Elephas maximus indicus: one gene and its partner. The protein of the gene in region 1 purifies or fractionates together with the protein of each later gene. This does not show direct contact. Links are inferred from orthologs where the notes say so. Each region holds a gene or a part of one and is shown on either strand. Other genes may lie near its edges.

The links. The genes of interacting proteins can lie anywhere in the genome.
Region 2: the proteins of PPP6R1 (region 1) and ANKRD44 purify together in Homo sapiens (co-immunoprecipitation; 5 studies listed by BioGRID and IntAct, counting the BioPlex papers as one, with this or other methods). This does not show direct contact. The link is inferred for Elephas maximus indicus from reciprocal best matches to the Homo sapiens genes PPP6R1 and ANKRD44.

Annotation. Positions count from the first base shown.
Region 1 is NC_064829.1:91,747,793-91,758,082, reverse strand, and holds the start of PPP6R1 (serine/threonine-protein phosphatase 6 regulatory subunit 1), read right to left. Parts: upstream 4,503-10,290; 5' UTR 1,686-4,502; coding exon 1,683-1,685; exon of another isoform or gene 1,652-1,682; intron 1-1,651. UniProt on the Homo sapiens protein: Regulatory subunit of protein phosphatase 6 (PP6). May function as a scaffolding PP6 subunit. Involved in the PP6-mediated dephosphorylation of NFKBIE opposing its degradation in response to TNF-alpha.
Region 2 is NC_064824.1:95,696,265-95,706,483, forward strand, and holds the start of ANKRD44 (serine/threonine-protein phosphatase 6 regulatory ankyrin repeat subunit B), read right to left. Parts: upstream 4,566-10,219; 5' UTR 4,376-4,565; coding exon 4,349-4,375; intron 2,294-4,348; exon of another isoform or gene 1-2,293. UniProt on the Homo sapiens protein: Putative regulatory subunit of protein phosphatase 6 (PP6) that may be involved in the recognition of phosphoprotein substrates.

The DNA of each region.
Region 1 (10,290 bases):
CAGAGACAGAAAGCAGATTAGTGGTTGGTGGGGGCTGGAGGACAGGGAGATGATGAATGAGTGCTAATGGGCACAGGGTTTCCTTTTGAGGGGATGAGAATGTTCTGGGAGTAGACAAAAGGGGTGGCTGCACAACATGGTGATTGTACTACCTGCCAATAAACTGCATATTTTAAATAGACAAATTGTACAGTATGTGAATTCTACCTCATAAAATTGTTACCAAAAAAACAAAACAAAAAACAAAGCCACTACCCCAGGTACCCTGGCAAGGCCAGGCTCAGTCCTCCCTGCTCAATAGTCAGGTCACCCCACAGTGGACCAAACACCAGCTCACTGCGCAGAGCTGAAGCACAGGAAGGGCTCACCTGGGGAGCACATCCAAGGTCAGCCCTCCTCATCCCTGAACTAAGCCACCCTCCTCCACAGAGATACGGGACAAAAAACAGGACTAAATGATACCTGGAGAGAACCCACGTGCCTGTACCTGGCACTTGCCAGCACCTTATCTTGTCTCCATGTCAAGACAGCAAGGTAAGGCATTACTATTATCCCATTTCACAGATGTGGAAGCAGGGGCCAGGCGGGGGGTAGAGGCCCACAGAGCCAGGATTCTGCATGGTTCCAAATCCCTAGCCCTGGCCTCTTTACACTAGGTAGACATTCTCACAGCTGAGGTTCCCGCGCATTTCATTTCTTCTTTTTTTGGGGGGGGGGTGTTCACGCTCATTTCTAAAGCTCCTGGTTATCGGGTACAGCTTGCTGCCCCCACCTCGAACCTCTTGCCCTCACTCCACCTTCCCACCTGCCTACATAGCCTGGCTTTCCAGAAAGCACAGGTGGGAGTAGGCGTGGGGAGCCACAAGACAAAGCAGGGTGTGCAGGCAGTGTACAGTGCTAGGAGGGAGAAAGCATAGGGTCTGGGATCCAGGGACTGGCTTGAACTGGCACTGCACAACTCCAGCCAGGCCCTTAACCTCTCAACCTCAGGTGGCCCCTCTGAAAATGAGGTGGCTGGAAGGATTCAACGTGATCACATGGTCAAACATTGGCTCTCAAGCTCTAAACAGAGTGGAAGTGCAAACACAAACACAGGAAAACAGAAAAGAAACACTTTTCCTCACCACAAACTCTCAGTCCACTCCAGCCTCAAGTCCTGACTCTCAGCCCCCACCTTCCAATTCCATAGAGCTGGTGGGGAACCTGGGTCCAGCACTGACCATCTTTGAGCCTCACTTCCCCCATCTGTTCAATGGGGACACCTAGCCTCAGGAGGCGCTGTAGTGAGCACCAATGAGGTAAGGCTGGTGGTCTTGTCCCTGTGGCAGCCCCCTCCTCAGCCTGTCTCTAAGACCACGATCCTTCCCAGTACTGCACCGCAAGGGTGGGAGGAGAAGGAGACAGTCACTATCCCAAGGCTGGCCATGCTACGAACAGACAAGGAGGAGAAGGGCACGCTCCCCTTCTTACTAAGCAACTGAAACACTTCTCTGCACCCCCACCCCCATCCTTTGCAACTTTCAGCAACTTCTAGAAAGCGGAAGTGACTACCAATGGTTTTCAGCAACCGTTTGAAAACCATGACTCTGGCTGTAAACGGAAGAAGGGGGATTTATAAATGAGAAAGGAGGCCATGAAAAACGAAAACTACCTCTGTAACTCTCCCTCTGCCAGGTCCTCACCATCACCTCTCGTTCCTCCTCCTGCTTTGTTTCCTGAGGCCTTCAACACCAGCTGCCTTCCTTCTCTGGAGCCTGCAGGCCCTGCCCCAGGCTCAGGCAGGGCCTAGCTACAGCTCCCAAAGAGCCGTCCCGCTGGCTGCTGTAGTCCAAACACAGCTCTGGCTGCCAGGGAACCCAGCCGATTCTTCCCCACCACCCGTCTTTCCTGCCCTGGCCCCAAGGCACCCGGAAGTGGGGGTGAAGGGCCCAGGGGCCGCTGGGAGGGCCTCCCAGGACAGGCCACCTGAAGGGCCCTATGCCTCGGCAAGCGGGATCAGAGGGCAGAGAAGGCCAGTTTGGGCCTCAGGAGAGGGCACCGCAGGCCACTGATCCGCCTCCACTGCAGAGATGACAGGCCCACGGGCTGCCGCTCTAATTAGAAACTGGCTGGGCAAGTCCAAGTGCGGGGAAGAGAACCTGCTTGCAGCGGACGGCAGCCTGGGCCCAGCCCCTTAAAGGGCCCGGCGGCAGCAGGGCAGCTCAGAGGATGGCAGGAGAGCCTCCCGCCAACTTCCCCCTCACCCAGCCAGCACCCAGGGTCTGAGGGGAGGTCAGGTCACCCGATGCCAATGCCAGGACTGGAAGGGGCTTCCCATGGGATGGAACAACGACCCCAGCAACTTCCAAGTTAGGGCCCATAGGGCTGCCACCACCCTGGCAAGGTAGGCATCGGGGACAGCCACTAATGAAAAGGGGTCACTGAGGCCAGAGGAGCAAAAGGACCTGGCCAAGGTTACACAGAATGACAAGCTGAGACCAGGCTGGGGCTGGGAGCCTTGAGGCTTTAGAAAGCCTGGGGACGGGGGTCATTCCCCGTTAGGGGGTACCTCCCCTATGCCTTCTGGATCACACCTTCCCAGCGGAGGTGCCAGCTCTGCCTGACCCCAGGGGATGAAGAAATTGGGAGACAGAAGCAACTGCTGAGAACTGGTAGGGGGGATTCCAATGTTCACATTCTGGACTCATCTCTTGCATTGGCCACAGGTTTGGAAAAAAGACAAGATCAAAGAATATACTCTAAGACGGAGAGCCCTTGGAAAAGCAGAGCGGGCAGAGTGCTACAGCCTCAGGAGCCTCCAGGGCAGTTAAGTCAGGAAGGTCTGGGTGCGGCAAATCTCACCTGCCCAAACTCAATCTACAACAGGTGGCAGAGCACCACTGGCCTCTGTCTCCCCATCTATGAAACCCCTCACAGGGCTACCATCAGGCAGCACTTCCCAGCGAAGGACCCACAAAGCTGGTGCTCAAAGGAAGACACTTGGTTTGGGGTGGGAAGGGGATTATGCCCCCCAGCCAACAAGCCATGTGCCAGGCAGTTGGGGAAGGCAACCCACTGGAGCCTCCAAGCCTCTCACCTCTCTCTTGCTGCAACCCACATGGCTCTCAAAATTCAGCCGCACGCATCCCTTCCTCTCTGCCCTGCACGTGCAGCTCCCTCTGCCTCTCCTCTAGTTCTCTGACCAGGCACCTCCTCCAGGAAGCCACCGCGCCCCCCACGATATCACTGGGGGCCTGTGTCTATGGCCACCCCTCAGCCAGCACCGGGGTGCTCAGTGATGCAATTTGCCTGTTTAGTCATCCGTACGCCCTTGAAGGGGCTGGTTCCCCAGGACCCAGAGCAAGGCCAGGCCCAGAGAAGAGCTCAGGGCACTTGCTAAATTAGCAAAGGCTAAAGTCCAGAGGGGGAGGGTGAAGGTCCCTGGGTGGTGCACACAGCTGGGTTGGCAGTTTGAACCCACCCAGTAGGTACTGTGTAAGAAACAGGCCTAGCAATCTGCTTTAATAAAGATTACAGCCAAGAAACCCTTCGGGGCAGTTTCTACTCTGTAACACATAGGGTTCTCCTAAGTCACAAACCAACGACAAAAACAAAATCAACATCAGCGGGGGAAGATGATCTGCTGAGGTCACTTGACCAGAGAGCCTGAATAAAAAAATCTGAGGGGTGGAGGACGAGGGGGAGTAGATATACCTCAAACGGAAAGCAACAGTAGCTGGGCCAACAGAGGCTAACTACCGAAAAAAAGAAAGGTAAATCCAAACACATGATGATGCACAGAGCCACACAGCCACTGACAGGTAGCAAAAAAGTAGATAAGCCCAACTACACCCAAACAAGAAATTATGGCTTCCCCACCTTGGCGCTGTTAACATTTTGGGCTGGTTGATTCTTTGCCTCCCACCACCTGTCTGTCAGCTTGTCGTAGTGCAGTGGCCTGCATGTTGCTAAGATGCTGGAAGCTACGCCACTGGTATTTCAAATACCGGCAGGGTCACCCATAATGTACAGGTTTCAGTGGAGCGTTCAGGCTAAGACTAGGAAGAAAGGCCTGGTGATCTATGTCTGAAAAGTAGCCAACGAAATCCCTATGGATCACAACAGAATCCTGTCCAATACGGAGCTGGAAGATGAGCCCCCTAGGTTGGAAGGCACTCAAAACACACATTGGCCACAACTATGGACTCAAACATGCCAAGATCATGAAGATGACATAAGGCTGGGCAACATTTCATTCTTTTGTACATGGGGTCGCCATGAGTTGGAGTCAACTGAACAGCAACTAACAACAATCCTCTGTCATGCAGAGCTATCCTGTCCATCCTAAGATGTTTAGCAACATCCCTGACCTTGACCCGGTAGAGGCCAGTAGCACCCTCCCCCTAGTTGTGACAATCAAAAATGTCTCCAGATGTGGCCAAGTGTACCCTGGGGCACAATCACCCCCAGCTGAGAAATGCTGCAATAGATGATCCCAAGCCAGATATAATAATCACAGGAGCAACTGATCCTGGAGCAGCTTCTTTACCTTGCATTCTGCTATGAGCTTCTACATACGTCAAGCTTAACCCCTGGAACAACCCCATGAGGAGGGCACTTTGTCCCCACTCTACAGATGAGGAAGAGAAGGCACAGAGCTTCTGATCAGCATGTCCACAGTCACCCCACTAGCAAGTGGGACAGCCAGAACTTGAACCTAGGTCTGTCCAACAAAAGAGCTCACTCTAAACTATTAGCCTTCACTGCCTCCCAAATGTGGTGTAAAACTCCAGAAAACAAGTCACGTGGTCTCATTTAATTTACACAAAATGATGCTGCAGTAGAAAAAAGCTTTAAAAAAGAAAGAGAACAGAGAAAATAACATTTTAAATAGAGCAAGTAAAACCAACTGCCATTCCACGTGGTAAGTGCGTGTCCCAGGGTGTGGTGGCCGTTTCTACACGTACATGTTAGCATACAGGATATGTACACAAACCACACACGCTGTATTCTCCAGATAATTCTGAGTCACTGCCATTGTCACCTTGTGAGAGCCGAGGTGGAACCTCTTCCTCAAGTTGGCTGCAACCCTGCTGCAGTTTTGCTAAGCTCTAACCAAGTCCCACATCTGACAACACACCTTCCTTTCCAGAAACATCTTGCTTTCCAGGCTGGTGTAAATGGTAACGCCTGTGTCCTCAAACAGGGGTGTGTGTGTACATGGTACAGGAAGGAGCAGGAAGGACCCTCGCCAGAACACCACCTCCAAGGTAACCAGCTCCAGCTCTAGGTGTTTTGCCCACTCCCCCCAACATATACCCTCTCTCAGACCCTCCAACACCCCCACCTTCACGTATCTGCACTGGTTGTTCCTTCCACCCGGAATGCCCTTCTTCCCACTCTCCATCTGTCAACTCCCACTCAACCTTCCTCGACAGAAAAGCCACTGGCTTGGCCAGTCCTGCCAGTCCCTGCCCCTCCCTGGGCTCCCGCAGTGGTGCCCTGAGTTACCTCTATCACCACACACAGTAATTGTGACTGCCCAGCTCTGCCTTTGTCTCCCCAGGGACCCATCCCTCCTTCAGGGCAGCGTCCCCTCTCTGGGTCCAGCACCAGTACCCCACCCTGCCCTCAGAAACAGGCCTCCTCTCAAAAACAGGACCCGCCCCAGAGAACGCGGGCTCCCAGATCCCTCCTCACAACCAGAAGCCAAAGACCACCAGGTACGGGGGACCCACAGCCAGGGTAAAGGGAAAGCGCCACTACTTTATGTCCTGAGCCCAAGGATCAGAATGAACAGGGACCAGTGAATCCAGGAAGGCAGGAAGGAGGGCAAAGGCATGACGCAAAAGAATGGGGGCAAGAGAGAAGAGTCTCAGTAGTAAGAGATGGGGGTGCCTGAGGAGACAGACTACTGAGGGGGGCAGGCTCAAGGGGGAAGAGACTGGGAGCGGGGGTGAGTCCCAGAGAGGAGTAGGTATGGTGGAAGGGGGTGGGTTGGAGGGGCAAGTGACTGGGGCAGGGGGAATGAGTACGAGAGGGAAGAAGGGGATGAGGTGAGGAAGAAAGAGACTAAGAGACTGGGGGGATGGGAGAGAGGAAGAAGAGACTGGGGGATAGGTGAATCTGAGGGAGGAAGGAGGTGACAGAGTGGCAATGAAGCAGAGCAGGGAGGGACTATGAGACTGGAGGGACCTAGGGGGAAGGAAGAGGTAAGCTGGGGATGAGCTGGACGGAGAAAAGATGGGGGGGGTGAGTCTGAGAGGGAAAGAAGGTGGTGGGTGGGTGGGTGAGAAAAGAAGAGGAGGGGAATGAATCCGAAAAAGAATAAAAAGATAGTGGTCTGGCGGTGAACCACAGGGGAAGAGACTAACAGACTGGGGAGGCCGAGTGGGAAGAGGGAGGTGGGCTGGGAATAGGCCAAAGAAAAGAAATGGAGACTTTAGGCGAGACGGTGGACGCTGAGGTGACACAGACTAGGGGGAAGCCCAAAGAAGGAACGGAAGAGGCCCGAGGAGAAAGATGGGGGGTGGCCCGGACAGGGAAGAGACTGGGGAGCCCCGAGGGGTACTTTGGTAAGGCTCTAGAGGGCCCGGGGCGGGGGGAGCGGAGACTCGGGAGGCCTGGACTCCGGGGAAGGGTCCCGGGATCCGGCCGGCTCACCTGCTCGGGGGGGCGGCGGCTCCTCGCACTCGGGGCTCATCGGGGCGCCCCCCCCGCCCCGCTGCAGGCGGCTCCGGCCCCTGCTCAGGGACCCGGTAAGTGGGGGCGGGGGGCGACGCAGTGGTCTCGCGGGGCGCTCGGTGCGCAGGCGCTTCAGTCGGGGGTTTGCGCGGCGCGCACGCGCCCTCTGATCAATGGGGGGCCCCGCGTGCCTAGCTCCGCTGAGTTCGGGGGTAAGCGCGGGGTTCGTTGGGTGGGGAGGTCACGGGACCCGCGCAGGCACCTCCGGGGTTCGACGACTGAAGCCGCGGGCAGCGAGCTGGGCTGAGAAGTCTGAGCGAGGGAACGGGACGTCGCCCCGGTTTCCTCAGCCCTGCACCCCGTGGAAAAGCAGAGGGCAGGCGGGGAAGATGTCCTCCTCTGTGGCCCGAACGCAGTGCGGAGCGGCCACCGACGGAAGCCGAGGCCCACTTCCTCAACCCTCCTTTCCCCAAACCAGCGGAGGTCCGGGGCGTCCGCACTCCGGCTACTCCGACGCCCAGCCGCTCTCCACCACTATCCCACAATCCCCCGAGCGCCGAGAACGCTACAGGCCCCGCCCTCCCGCGGCTTCTCCGTGCGCAGGTGCGCCGCGGCCGCGCCCCGTAGTGCGCATGCGTGTCGGGCCCAGGCGTTCCCCGCCCCGCCCGCCCGGAATGCCGCTGCTGTCACAGCCCCGCTTGCGCCAGTTTCTGCCAACGGTCTCTCCCCGGATAAACCCAGGCGGCCCGGTGCGCAGGCGCCACTGCAGCAAAACCAAACCCAACCCACCGCCGTTCAGTCAGTTCCGGCTCTTGCCGACCCTATCAGACAGAGTAGACCTGCCCCAAAGGGTTTCCAAGGCTGTGACCTTGACTGAACCCGACTGCCACATCTTTATCCCGCGGAGCGGCTGGTGGGTTTGAACCGATGACCTTTCTGTTAGGAGCCCAGCGCTTAACCACTTTTACACCACCAGGGCACACCCAGGAGCCAATTTCTCTACGATTCCATTCTAGAGTCCAATAGGAATGCTGCCCCGGGTTTTCTCTTCTCCTTTGGAAATTCGTCAGCTCTGTCACATAGGGTCGTTATGAGTCGAAATGGACTGGACGGAAACGGGTTTGTTTTTTGTTTTTTTGTATCCTCGATCTTCTCCAACTATATACCGACTCTGGCTCCAGGGTCGCGCTGCTGGGAAATCCATCCCGGGCTTTCCCTCTTGGAAGCAATCTAGCCTTTCTCTCCAACCAAACTAAGGTGGTTTGACCTCACCCTATTTATTCTCTCTCTGTCGGGTCGCTGTGAGTCGGAATCAACCGGAGGCAACGGGCTTGGTTTTTTGTTTGTTTGTTTCTCTGTTGACATCTCCTCTGGGCCTGACTTCAGTCATTCTCTGTTCCTAGTCGCTGCACAAAGCCTTTTGTAATGGGAAGCGTTCTTCTAGACCTTGCCAGTATTCTTTAAGACCCATCTGACTCAGCTGTAGTTTCCCCAATATTCTTGTTGTTAGGTGCCTTGGAGTAGCCCCACGAGACGGAGTAGAACTGCCTGGTAGGATTTTCCAGGCTGTAATTTTTTCATTGTACTTTAGATGAAGATTTACAGAACAAACTAGCTTCTCATTAAACAATTAGTACACATACTGTTTTGTAACGTTGGTTGCCAACCCCGTGACATGTCAATACTCTCCCCTTCTTGACTTTGGCTTCCCTATCACCAGCTTTCCTGTCCCTTCTTGCCTTCTCATCCTTGCTCCTGGGCTGATGTGCCCATTTAGTCTCGTTTTGTTTTGTGGGCCTGTCTACAATCTTTGGCTGAAGGGCGAACCTCAGGAGGGACTTCATTATTGAGCTAACAGGGTGTACAAGGGCCGTACTCTCGGGGTTTCTGCAGTCTCTGTCATACCAGTAAGTCTGATCTTTTGTGTGTGTGCATTAGAATTTTGTTCTACATTTTTCTCCAGCTCTGTCCCGGACCCTCTATTGTGATCCCTGTCAAAGCAGTCAGTGGTAGCTGGGCACCATCTAATTGTGCTGGACTCAGTCTGGTGGAGGCTGTAGTACTTGCAGTCCACTAGTCATTTGGACTAACCTTTCCCTTGTGTCTTTGGTTTTCTTTGTTCTCCCTAGCTCCAGATGGGCTGAGACCAGTGGAGTATCTTAGATAGCCATTCACAAGCTTTTAAGACCCCAGACGCTACACACCAAAGTAGAATGTAGAACATTTTCTTTATAAACTATGATGCCAATTGAGCTAGATGTCCCCCCAGACCATGGTCCCCAGCACTCAGCCCCATAATTTGGTCCCTCAGGACTTTGAATATGCCTATGGTGCTTCCATGACCTTGCCTTGGACAAGTTGTGCTGGCTTCCCCAGTATTGTGTACTGTCTTACCCTTCACAAAGTTACCACTTACCTATTGTCTATTTAGTGTTTTTCCATCCCCACTCCTCCCCTCTCTCATAACCATCAAAGATTTTTTCTCTTTGTGTGTAAACTTTTTCGTGAGTTTTTATAATAATGGTCTCATTCAATATTTGTCCTTTTGTGACTGACTTATTTCACTCAGTATGATGCCCTCGAGATTCATCCATGTTGTGAGATGCTTCACAGATTCATCTTTGTTCTTTATCATTGCATAGTATTCCATCATGTGCATGTACCATAGTTTGTCTATCCATTCATCTATTAATGGGGTTTTTTTTCTTTCCCATGATTCTGCTTGCTTGTTTTCCTCCACGATATGACTGCATAGTTGCCACACTGTTGAACACAGGCTCACGGACTGAGGGATGGGGTTGGCCATATGCAACCACCAAATGGAACCTGAGAAGCTAAGGAAGCCAATCTGCAATAACTTGGAAAACTCCAGGGTTTTTAAAGACTGAAACCTGAATTCCTGTCAGAATTTCCAGATAGATGATGCTGTTATTTATAGTAGAATGAACCTGTTGCCATTGAGTCGACTTCGACTCATACTGACTCTATAGGACAGAGTAGAATTGCCCTATAGGGTTTCCAAGGCTGTAATCTTTACAGGAGACTGCCAGATCTTTTTCTCGCAGAGCAGATGGTGGGTTTGAACCACAGACCATTCGGTTAGCAGCTGATCACTTAACCACTGCACCACCAGGGCTCCTTGTAATAGAATGAAGGGGCTTTTAAAGTGTTCAGTGGGAACACTCATTCCCCACTGTTCATGTTTCTATGTGAAGGAACTTCCATTGGGGTCTCTGGCCTCTCTCCAGCCACTCTAGAGGTGGAGGAATGACATACCTGATTGGATGGGGACAGTGACTCAGCCCTCCAGCTTTCCTTCCCCTTGGAGCCAGCCTGGCCACAGCATGTCTGGGCTCTGGCCGGCTGTGTGCCACCCCAGAGGAGAAGGCTGGGTTTGCCCAGTGTCATGAATTGAATTGTGTCCCCCAAAAATGTGTCAGTTTGGCTAGGCCATGATTCCCAGGATTGTGTAGTTGTCCATTTTGTGATCTGATGGGATTATTCTATGTGTTGTAAATCTAATCTTTATGATGTTAATGAGGGAGGATTAGAGTCAATTATGTTAATGAGGCAGGACTCAATCTACAGGATTAGGTTGTATCTTCAGTCAGTCTCTTTTGAGATACA
Region 2 (10,219 bases), on another chromosome or scaffold:
AGGACAGAGGAGAACTGTCCCACAGGGTTTGCAAGGCTTTAAATCTTTACAGAAAAAGAGTGTCATATCTTTCTCCCACACAGCATCTGGTGGGTTCAAACCACCATTCGATTAGCAGCCGAGTGCTTGACCACTGCACCATCAGGGCTCCCAGCATACAATAAGAGCACAATAAATGTAAGCCATTATTAGCTCTCTGCCATGAAACACTAGTCCTCAAGTACACTCCCAAAGCCAAGTGACCAAATCCCAAAACAATCAGAAAAGGGTCCAAAGAGTAGGGCCTTTCTATTCCCTTCTTCTCTGCTGAAGGCAGGACTGAAGAATAGTGTTTGCTTTAAGTTCAGTGCTTTAGGGAGCAATGGAAGGACAAGAGCAGTCCAATAAAATGTGTAACATGTCCCAAGGCCTTACGCTGTGGGCTAAAAGTTCTACTTTCAAAGTTAAAGGGTTTCTAGTATTTTGCCACTGCCACGGCTGCCAGTCACTGCCTTTGGCAAGGAGGTAGGTGACTCAAGTGCTGAGCTAGGACTTGGCAAGAGGATGCCAAACCAGAAGGCTTCCAGGCAGGAAGCCACAAAAAAGGCCACCTGCTGAAACATTTTGTCTATAGGCAGCCTTAGAGTGGAGGTGGTATTCTGCCGTCATTTGAAAATTCAGATAAGAATAGTGAACATTTCAAAAGTCCACCAGAACTCACCATTCTAGCTTCATAACTCCGAAAAAAAATTTTTTTGGTCCAGGCCAAAGATATGACCACAATTAAAATCACTGAAATGTCTTAACTATATGACATAAAGAACAACAAAAGTTCAGTATCAAATCAAATTGCAAAGAGTTTCATGGATATCTCAAGCCAAAATACATATCTGTATAATAAAATCTTATCATATATTTTATATTATATTACACATATTTGTTGTTTTTGTGTACCATCAAGCCAATTCCGATTCATGGCGAACCTATAGGACAGAGTAGAAGTGCCCCATAGCGTTTCCAAGGAGCTGCTGGGTGGATTCAAACTGCCAGCCTTCTAGTTAACAGCCTGAGCTCTTAACACTTCATGACCAGGGCTCCATTACATATATTATACAAATGTAAAATTATATATTACCAAACCAAACCCAGCTCTGTCGAGTCGCTTCCGACTCATAAGACAGAGTAGAACTGCCCCATAGAGTTTCCAAGGAGTGCCTGGTGGATTCGAACTGCCGACCCTTTGGTTAGCAGCCGTAGCACTTAACCACTATGCCACCAGGGTTTCCAAAATTATATATTATACAAATGTAAAATTATACTATACATTATCATGTGTGCATAATAAAATCTTCTTTCTCAACCTTAATATCACCTCTCTTTACCAAAGATATAAATAAATCTCCTAACATCCATCTATGAGGGAATAATTACATTATTATATTAATTCCATAGGTAAATGTATTCTACGCTCCATAGGTGACCAACTTATCCTGGTTGTCTGAAACTTTCCTGGTTTTAGCTCTGAAAAGTCCCTTGTCCTGGGAAACCCCTCAGTCCTGGGCAAACCAGGGCAGTTAGTCACCCTAAAGCTGCAAGAAAAATGACGTGCATCATGTGAAGGGGAAAACAGAAGAGACAAATGCAGAAGTGCTAAATGCCAAGCTTGTTTGTTTGTAGCAATAGCTCCCAGTTCCTTTTCATAGTAAGAAAAGACTAAAAGCCACACACTTGCCTCTCCCTTTCCCCTTTCTTCTCACTCTCCCAGCGTTAAAAAAAAAAAAAAAACCAAATCAGGAAAAGGTATTTTTCCCTTCTCTTGTGTGATTGAGAGGTCACTGCAGAATTAACTGCTGAAGTGGAGATCACCATCACCCAACAAGCTCCTGCACCCAGCTTCAGCAGAACAGGACCGCCTCTTACTTTGGGCATGTTTAAAGACAACTTGTAATTCAGGTTATCGGCAGGAAAAATGTGTCCTCAAGCAAAAAAAAAAAAAAACTGCAAGAGCCAGGACAAAAATCAAGGTGTTAAAACAAATGAGGGAGGAATTTAAAAAATAGTTCTTGTACAAGTAGCTAAAAGGAGAACTGTGCACTCCCTCTACAAACTCTAAGGCAGGGATTCCAGGCAGGCTGCTCCCTACCCACTCTTCTCGCAGATTTTTAAGCACAGAGTTTTTAAGCCTCCAATGAGGTTAAAAACCGACTTCTAAGAATTTAGAATTTCAAACTGAAAAGGTAAGACTATATAAGGCAAGAAAGACCACATGCTTCCTGGACCTGAAGCCACACAGAAACCTCTGTTGCTCAGCACCCCACCCCACCCCACTCCACCCAGAACGCCTTTCCACCCAATCCCCCCTGGCTGTGTCCCAAGATAGGCAGGGAATTTTTAGATGATCTTAAATCTTAGAATGTCTTAGCTTCTTTTTATGCATCAGGAGGTGGAACCAAATAAACGTTTTGGTACTCTTTCTTTCCACAGTTACACTAGTTTATAGAGGGGGGGCCGGGAAAGGACATTTTAAAAGACAAACATCTTTAGAAATCCTAAGGAACTTCTGATAAGTCCTGAAGAATAACATCCTTTCTTTTTAAGACCAAGTAATACACTTTTCAGCAGTGTCCATCTTGATTTAGAAGAGGATGCCTTCTTGTAACCCTTACAACACATCCAATGAAAAGCCAGAGGTGTCTTACCAACTCTAGCAGAAAGCACAAGAACCTGGAAGGCAACCGGAGCTAATCCTAGCTCTACAGGTCAACAGCTGTGGTCCCTGAGTAAGGCATGCTTCATTTCTACAGATAATAGTTTCTTCATTTGAAAATTGAAGGACTTGAGCAGGAAGGTCTTTAGCATACCTTACAACTCTAAAATCCTAAGTAAAATTCTTTCATGTACTGTTAGAAGCATTTTTTTTTTTTTGGACCTTGCTGATTAAGGATTAACAGACAAGTAGGTGACCAGCAAAGATGACAGGACCAAGGCAGACTAAAATTGGAAGATTTAAAACAAGCAAATGTCTAACAGTTGGCTAAGTATGTGGCTAAAAGGTGGGAGAAATCCTAATATCAACTTACAAACACTTTTAAATGCTCTGGAACCAATGAGAACACGTAAACTCATCAAAATCACTAGGCTCCTCCTACCAAATTTAACAACAGCACGGATTTTAATTCAGTGACCTCCCCCCTCCCCCCTCCACACAGTCTATAAATATTTAGGGAAATCAAACCAAAAATATAAATCTAAAAGGACGAGAACAAATCATTGCAAAAACATCGTGGTAATGATAGCATTTAAGTCCCAGACTGCTCTGGCTGGATGCTAATAGGGGACAGAATAGGTGCCACTGGAACCCACTCAAGAAGTTTGAGATGTGTAATACCAAGGGCTGGCCCGTTTGACAGCGTGTCCAAGTCAAGACTACATCTTGACCTACCAGAACACCAAAACAATGTTTATCTCACTAAATGGGGGGGGGGGGGGGCGGGGAGGCAAGCTTTTTCCTTTTTTCGTGGAAGGAGCTGCAAGGAGTTTTGTCGTGCAACTTGATTGGGCGCCTGTGAGTGCCCATTTCCTAAGAGCAGCAGAGGCCACAAAGGTGAGGTGTCTCCACACCACAGATCTGCACTGCCCTGTGTTGAGTCTTAGCGAGGAAAGCAACAAAGCCGATGGGGGCACAAGCAGACGGTAGCCCACCACTTGAAAGTGGAGGCCCCGCCGGACCGCACCGCATTCTCCTCCGGAAAGACGGACCAGAGCCCAGAGCGCCTCTTCGAGGGTCCCCATCGGACATGCACCCGCCGCCTCTGGCCAGCTAAAGAGGAAGTCAGGATAGCATGTCAAACGGATAGACAGCCCGATCACACAAGAGACGTGGGCTGGGCCGGTCTCCGGGTTGCCTTGGGGAGGGGTTCCAGACTGCGGACCTTTCTCCCTCTGACCCCACAGTCCTCCTCCCGGCGGCGTGGACCTCGGCTGCGCAGCCCGGTGGAGTCGGAGGAGTACCTCCAGCCTCCCCTCCCCCTCTTCCTCAGCCTGGGCCCGCGTACCACACACGCAGACCCACACAAGCCCGCGCACCCGCGCCCAGGCTGCGCCCAGCAGGGTGCCCCCTCAGCCTTGCGGCACGCCGCGGTGCTAAGGGTGCTGAGCGGGGCGTGCAGTTCCGACGGCCCAGGGCGGGGAGCAGCTCCGGGCAGGAGAGCGGCCGCCGCGGGGTTCAGAGGCAGCCCGCCAGCCGCACACACTCCTCCCCTTGGCCCGGAGTAAACAGCTCGCGGGCTCGCTCCGCGCCGCCCCCATCCCCCGCCGGGCTCCGCGCCGCCCCGCGCCGAGAGTCCCGCCGCCGGCCGCCGCCCCCTACCTGGTCTGTGAGTTTGAGCACTACCATTCTTCCGCTCCTCCGCACGCACACACATACAGGTCCCCAGTCCGGAGATGTCAAGCCAGGAGCCGGGGAAGCGGAAGGGATTGCCAGGGGAAGGGAAAAAAATCTGGCTCCCGAATTTGACAGCCCTCCCCCTGCTCCTCCTCCGCCACCGCCTCCTCTCGCCGAGAGGCTGACACTGGCTAGTGGTGTTTGCAGCCGAGCCCGCCCGCCCGCCCGCCTTTATACAGGAAGTGCCGGCTGCTGCCAGCCGGGCCGCCACTGACATCACCGCGCGCTGCCTCGCTCGCTCGCGGCCGCGCCGGCTGGGCCGACGCTGCCTCCTGCCGCCCGCAGCCGCGCCTCGCAGCCCACGGCCCCCAGCGCTCGCTGGCGCCAGCACCTCGCGCTCCGCCGAGGGCAGACTGATTCCTGCTTTACGCACACTGCACATGGGTGAGCTTGGCACCGGCCGTCAGGCCGCCCGGCGGCCCCAGGGCGCGCATGGTAAAGGTGGCGACCCGGGGCTGACCGTCGTCTCCCTAGCCCCATCTCACTCATGTGCACAGACACACACGGACACAACCTGATGAACAAGCCCCTGTGAGGACACCCCGAGGGGGCAAAGAAAGGCTGCCACTCACAAACCACCCACTTTAAACTGGGAGGCTGGGGCACACCCCCTTCCCTTAAACCTCTCATTATAGTCCGGAATCCGATTGTACCAGCCCTCAAAATTATCCCACCTCAATCAGGCACCACAATTCAGATACTCTTAGTTTAATGCCCGGAGGCCTGATACAGGGTTTTTTTTTTTTTTTTTTTTTAGCAAGTAAGTGAGCCGTGTTTCACAAACATTTGGGTTTGGGGCGAGGTACAGGGATTCTGACATTTTCACCTTGTTCCCCAGCCAGAATCCAGCTAGACACAAACACACACACACACAATCATTATAACACTCTGGGTTTTGCTATTGATTTGTGGTTTGGTTTACCCGGAGGGTGGAGCTGGAGCAGGACCCTACAGGACAGAGTAGAACTGACCCACAGGGTTTCCAAGGCTGTAAATCTTTATGGACGCCGAGGGCCACGTTTTTCTCCCACTGGAGCACTGGTGGGTTCCACCATCGACATTTCGGTTAGCAGCCAGCCGCTTTTGACCGCTGCACCACCGAGGCTCCTTACTGGAGAAACTGAAGAGATCGTGAATTACCTCATTTTTAATGTTTCCACCAGTCCTGATCATGCATTTCCACAAAATCCAAAGTTACCATGCTCTTCAACAGGTGGAAGACACGTTAAGCAGCATGGGATACAAAGGCAGCGGTCATATTTATAATCATGGCTAATGTTGACACTTGTAGAATTTGGACAAGCATTTATTTATTCAACAACTATGCACTGGGTGCCTACCTTTTACCAAGTACCCCCCCCCCCAAAAAAAACGCACTGCCGTCGAGTCGGTATTCATAAATAGGCAAGATACCTAGTCTCGGAGGATGCCTGACTATAGTCAGGCTAAGGAATGTAATTACCAGTTGAGATGAGGGATTACAGGGAACAAGTGCTTCTAAAGGAACCCATGACAAAGGAATCAGACCAAAGTGATGCATAAACCCAGGCTTCCCTGAGAAAGTGACATTAATTGAGATCTGGAAGAGGAGAGGAGGTATGTTAGCAAGGAAGGCAGGAGGCAGCTCCCAGGCAGCCCCTTGTGCCCCTGACAGGCCACAGAGCAAACCTGCAGGGAAGCATTAAACAGCAAAACACAGCTACAGAGTTCCTGGGTCATGAGCAAAGATATCCTGCTTATTCACAAACCGAAAGTGTATACTGCCTTCTGGGGTTCTTCCTCCCAACTTTCAGAGCCTCCGCAAAGGTTCCATGTAAGAAAGGAGAGAAGGATGTGAGCTGGTAGCATTCACTTAGCATCCTCTCCTTTATCATTCAACCACCCAGTTTAGCTAAGCAGATAAGTCACAAACGTACTCTTACTAGTCTGATAAAATTGTGATTCAGATCATGTAGACAACGGGAACCAAGGAGGCATTCTCCTGGCTTTCACTCCTCTATCATCAGGGAAGCATGAAGAAAAATGTACTTTTTCTCTCAAAGCCCTCTCTCAAATACAAAATAGATTGCTTTGGTTGCATCTGTGAGGCAGTTTTTAACTACTGGTGTTGGTGTATCTATTTACTAATACCATTTTGCATGGGTTTGTAAGTAAACTGAATAGGACACTGAATTTTCCACTTAAATATAGCCTTCTTTCAGAAAAGTAATAACAAATGGTTTAATTTGGAGAGTGCTCCCAAGATCCTCTTTGCTTCACCATGGCATATCTACCCAAGTTCTTGAGACCTCATTTGAAAGGGGGAGGGAACAGTCCACAACCCTATCAGACCCATCATCCCCTTTTTTGTAACTAGTATATTTAATACTCCCTTACTATCTTGAAATGAAATTAATAGACAATATAACCTACCTATTCAAATCACAAAAAAATCAATAACAAAGGGAAAATAGAAAGTAATTTAAAATTAATAAGTATTTCATAAGTAAATTCTATAGCACAACTCTAATGGAAGATAACATGAAGTAGAAGATGGCTTGCCCCTTAGTTTCCTAGTGCCGCTATAACAGAATACCATAAATTGGTGGCTTTAACAAACAGAAATTTATTTTTTCACTGTTTAGGAAGCCAGAAGTCCAAATTCAGGGTGCAGGCTCTAGGTGAAGTTTTTCTCTCTTTGTTGGCTCTGAAGGAAGGTCCTTGTTTCTTTGGCTTCTGCTGCTGGGTAATCTTCATGTGGCTTGGCATCTCTTTTCCCCCATCTCTGCTTCTCTCTTGCTTGTTTAATCTCTTTTATATCTAAAAAGAGATTGACTGAAAACATAACCTATACTAATGCTGCCTCATTAACATAGCAAAGGCAACCCATTCTCAAATGGGATTATAACCACAGGCATAGGGGTTAGGAATTACAATACACATTTTGGGGGAACACAATTCAGTTCATAACACCCCCATATGTAGAACCATTTTGAATGAGATAACTACAAATGCTGACCAATATGAATGTGTTGTGTTAGCAACTCAAACATCAAGATTGGTGTTGTTATAGGTGACATGACTTTTGAAAAGCTGAACAACTCTTGGTCAAGTTCCAAACAAAATAAAGAGTTAAGGATTGGGTTAAATTTATTGATATGGGTGCATTTACCAGAAAGTGTGGATTTAAGATATTAACTAGTGCTTTGAATGTGACTCTAACAGTTTGCTCAGTTGGTTAAATGAAACTTGCAGTAGTCTACATTCAATGAGATCAAGATGCTAGAATGCCCCTGGTATAATGTGGAAAAAGAAATACAAAAGTTTACCGAGATAAGAATGTTGGAGTGATTTTATCATGTGTAACCTGCACACCCAAACCCAACCTACATACACCTTGAGGGCCCAGATGACAGTCTTTACACTAAAAAAATTAAAAATTACACTAAGGCATTGAAAAACAGATTAGTGAAGAGAGCACCAGAAAAGCTCTGTAGTAGCTGGATATGATGGTAGGAGATGCTTCCAGTGAGGTGGCTTCCTGATATCTGTGACAGTGGGATACTGGGATACCGGTGCCTAACTGGCAGAAGCAACATGGACACATTTACTGTAGTGGACAGCAGGGAAAAAAGTAATAAACAAAGGTCTTGACCTACAGGTATATTTGACAGTACCTAAAAAAAAAAAAAAATTTTTTTTTTTTTAATTGATCCAGGTGGCCCTAGGAATAAAATAGGTGGGCAGACTTCTGAAATATTCCTTGATCTTTATTGAAAAAACAAACTCTGAGTATGCTGGCCTTGAGCCATTAAAATGAAAAATCATCCTTCTCATCCAGTTTCCATACCTAAGCTAGTTTACAGGCATGGTGCCCCTTAATTGAAAGGAGGGCTGGTCCCTGAGAAAGAATCCTACAGTACTGCCATAAATACATACTACAAGTCTTCATTCAAGCCTTTCCCAAGGGAACCTGATGTCATTCACTAGGGTAACTTGTGCACTAGGGAAAAGGAAATACCCAGATATTTTGGGGATTACTAGACACTGTTTCTGAATTAATGGTGATTCCTGAGGATCCAAAATGCCATTGAGTTCACCAATCGAATTGGGGACTTTTGGTGTTCCAGTGATAAATGGAGTTTTCACCCAAGTCTAAATGACAGTGGGTCCAGTAGGTCTGCAAATCCACTCGACGGTTATTTCTTCAGTTCCTGCACTCTTGATATGGCACTATTTCCAGTGGGGACCAACCAGGCACCTGTTAGCAGATTGATTGTATTGGACTCCTTCCACATATGGGGTTGCCATGAGTCAGAATCAACTCAAAGGCAATTGGTTTTTTTGGTTGATTGGTTGGTTTTTCCATCACGGAGGGAGAATAAATACGTATTGTGGATAGGGATTTGCCTTCTATGCCTAGAATGCTTCTGCCAGTACTACCACCAATGAACTTACTATGTTATCGCTTATTTACTGTTATAATATTCTGTACAATATTGCTTCTTTCCAAGTAATTCATTTCACAGGAAAGGAAATGCAACACTGGAATCGCGTAAATGGAATTTACTGGTCTTGTATACCCTACCAGCAGAAGCAGCTGACCTAGTAGGAAGATGGAATGATCTACTGAAGACTGAGTTCTGGTGCCACTTGGGGAATAACATACTAAAAGGTTAGAGTACCCTGTTATAGGATATATGTATGCTTTGAGTCAGCAACCAATATACAGTAGTGTTCCTCCCAAAATATGTAGCTCCAAGAGTCAGGAAGGTGGTGGTGGAAGGGGCTCTTCTCATCATTACACCTAACAATGCACCTGCACAGTTTTTGGTTCCAGTGCCCATAACTTTGAGCTCTGCTAGTGTGGAGAATCCTACTTTCCAATAGAGGACTCTTTCTATCAGGGGTTATAATTATGGTTCCTTGAATTTTGAGAAGTAGAGACTGGTATCTGGTCACTTTGGGCTTCTCATACTATGGAACCAACAGGCAAAAAAGAGGTTGCTTTTCTAGCTGGGGTTCTTGGTTCCAATTTCCAAAAGGAAATTGGTTTGCTGCTACACAATGGGGGCAGGGAGGACTATGTCTGGGGTTTCTATGGCACCTTTTAGCTCTTTTGTGTGCCATAACCCATTAAAAAAAAAACAACCTATTGCTGTCAAGTCGATTCTGACTCATAGTGACCCTATGGGACAGGGTAGAAGTGCCCCACTGGGTTTCCAGGGAGCAGCTGGTGGATTTAAACTGTCAACTTTTTTTGGTTAGCAGTCTTAGCTCTTAACCACTACACCACCAGGGTTTCCAAATATGCCCCCTCAAATTTCAAAAATATTCCCTAAGGGACAGTACTGAGAACCAATGTATTGTAGTGATCATAGCCTATGATGTGAATAAATCCATCCAATATATTATATCACATTTCACTGTGGTTATTTTATTTACTTGATTTATCCTATTTTAAATTGTATGACTATAAATACACACTTACATGTATATGTATGTCTATAGATACATGTGAGTGTGTATATGAGTATATATATATGACATATATATAAAACATATGAACATATATCACTGCAGTAGGCATTGTAGTGTGTCACCCAGTTCCCACCTTCGGCACTAAAGCCCTGCTGGAAAAGTTGCCTGCTAACCACTCAAGCTGAATCTTTCCCCAGGCTTTGCCTTCAGCCAAAAGTAAAAAGTACATCACCCAAGGTTACAACCTCTCCCTGGGGCCTGTTTATATGCAATGAGTGCAGTGGTACAAAGACCCAGCCAGTCACCTTGCCTCAATTCAGAGTATCTCCGAAGGGA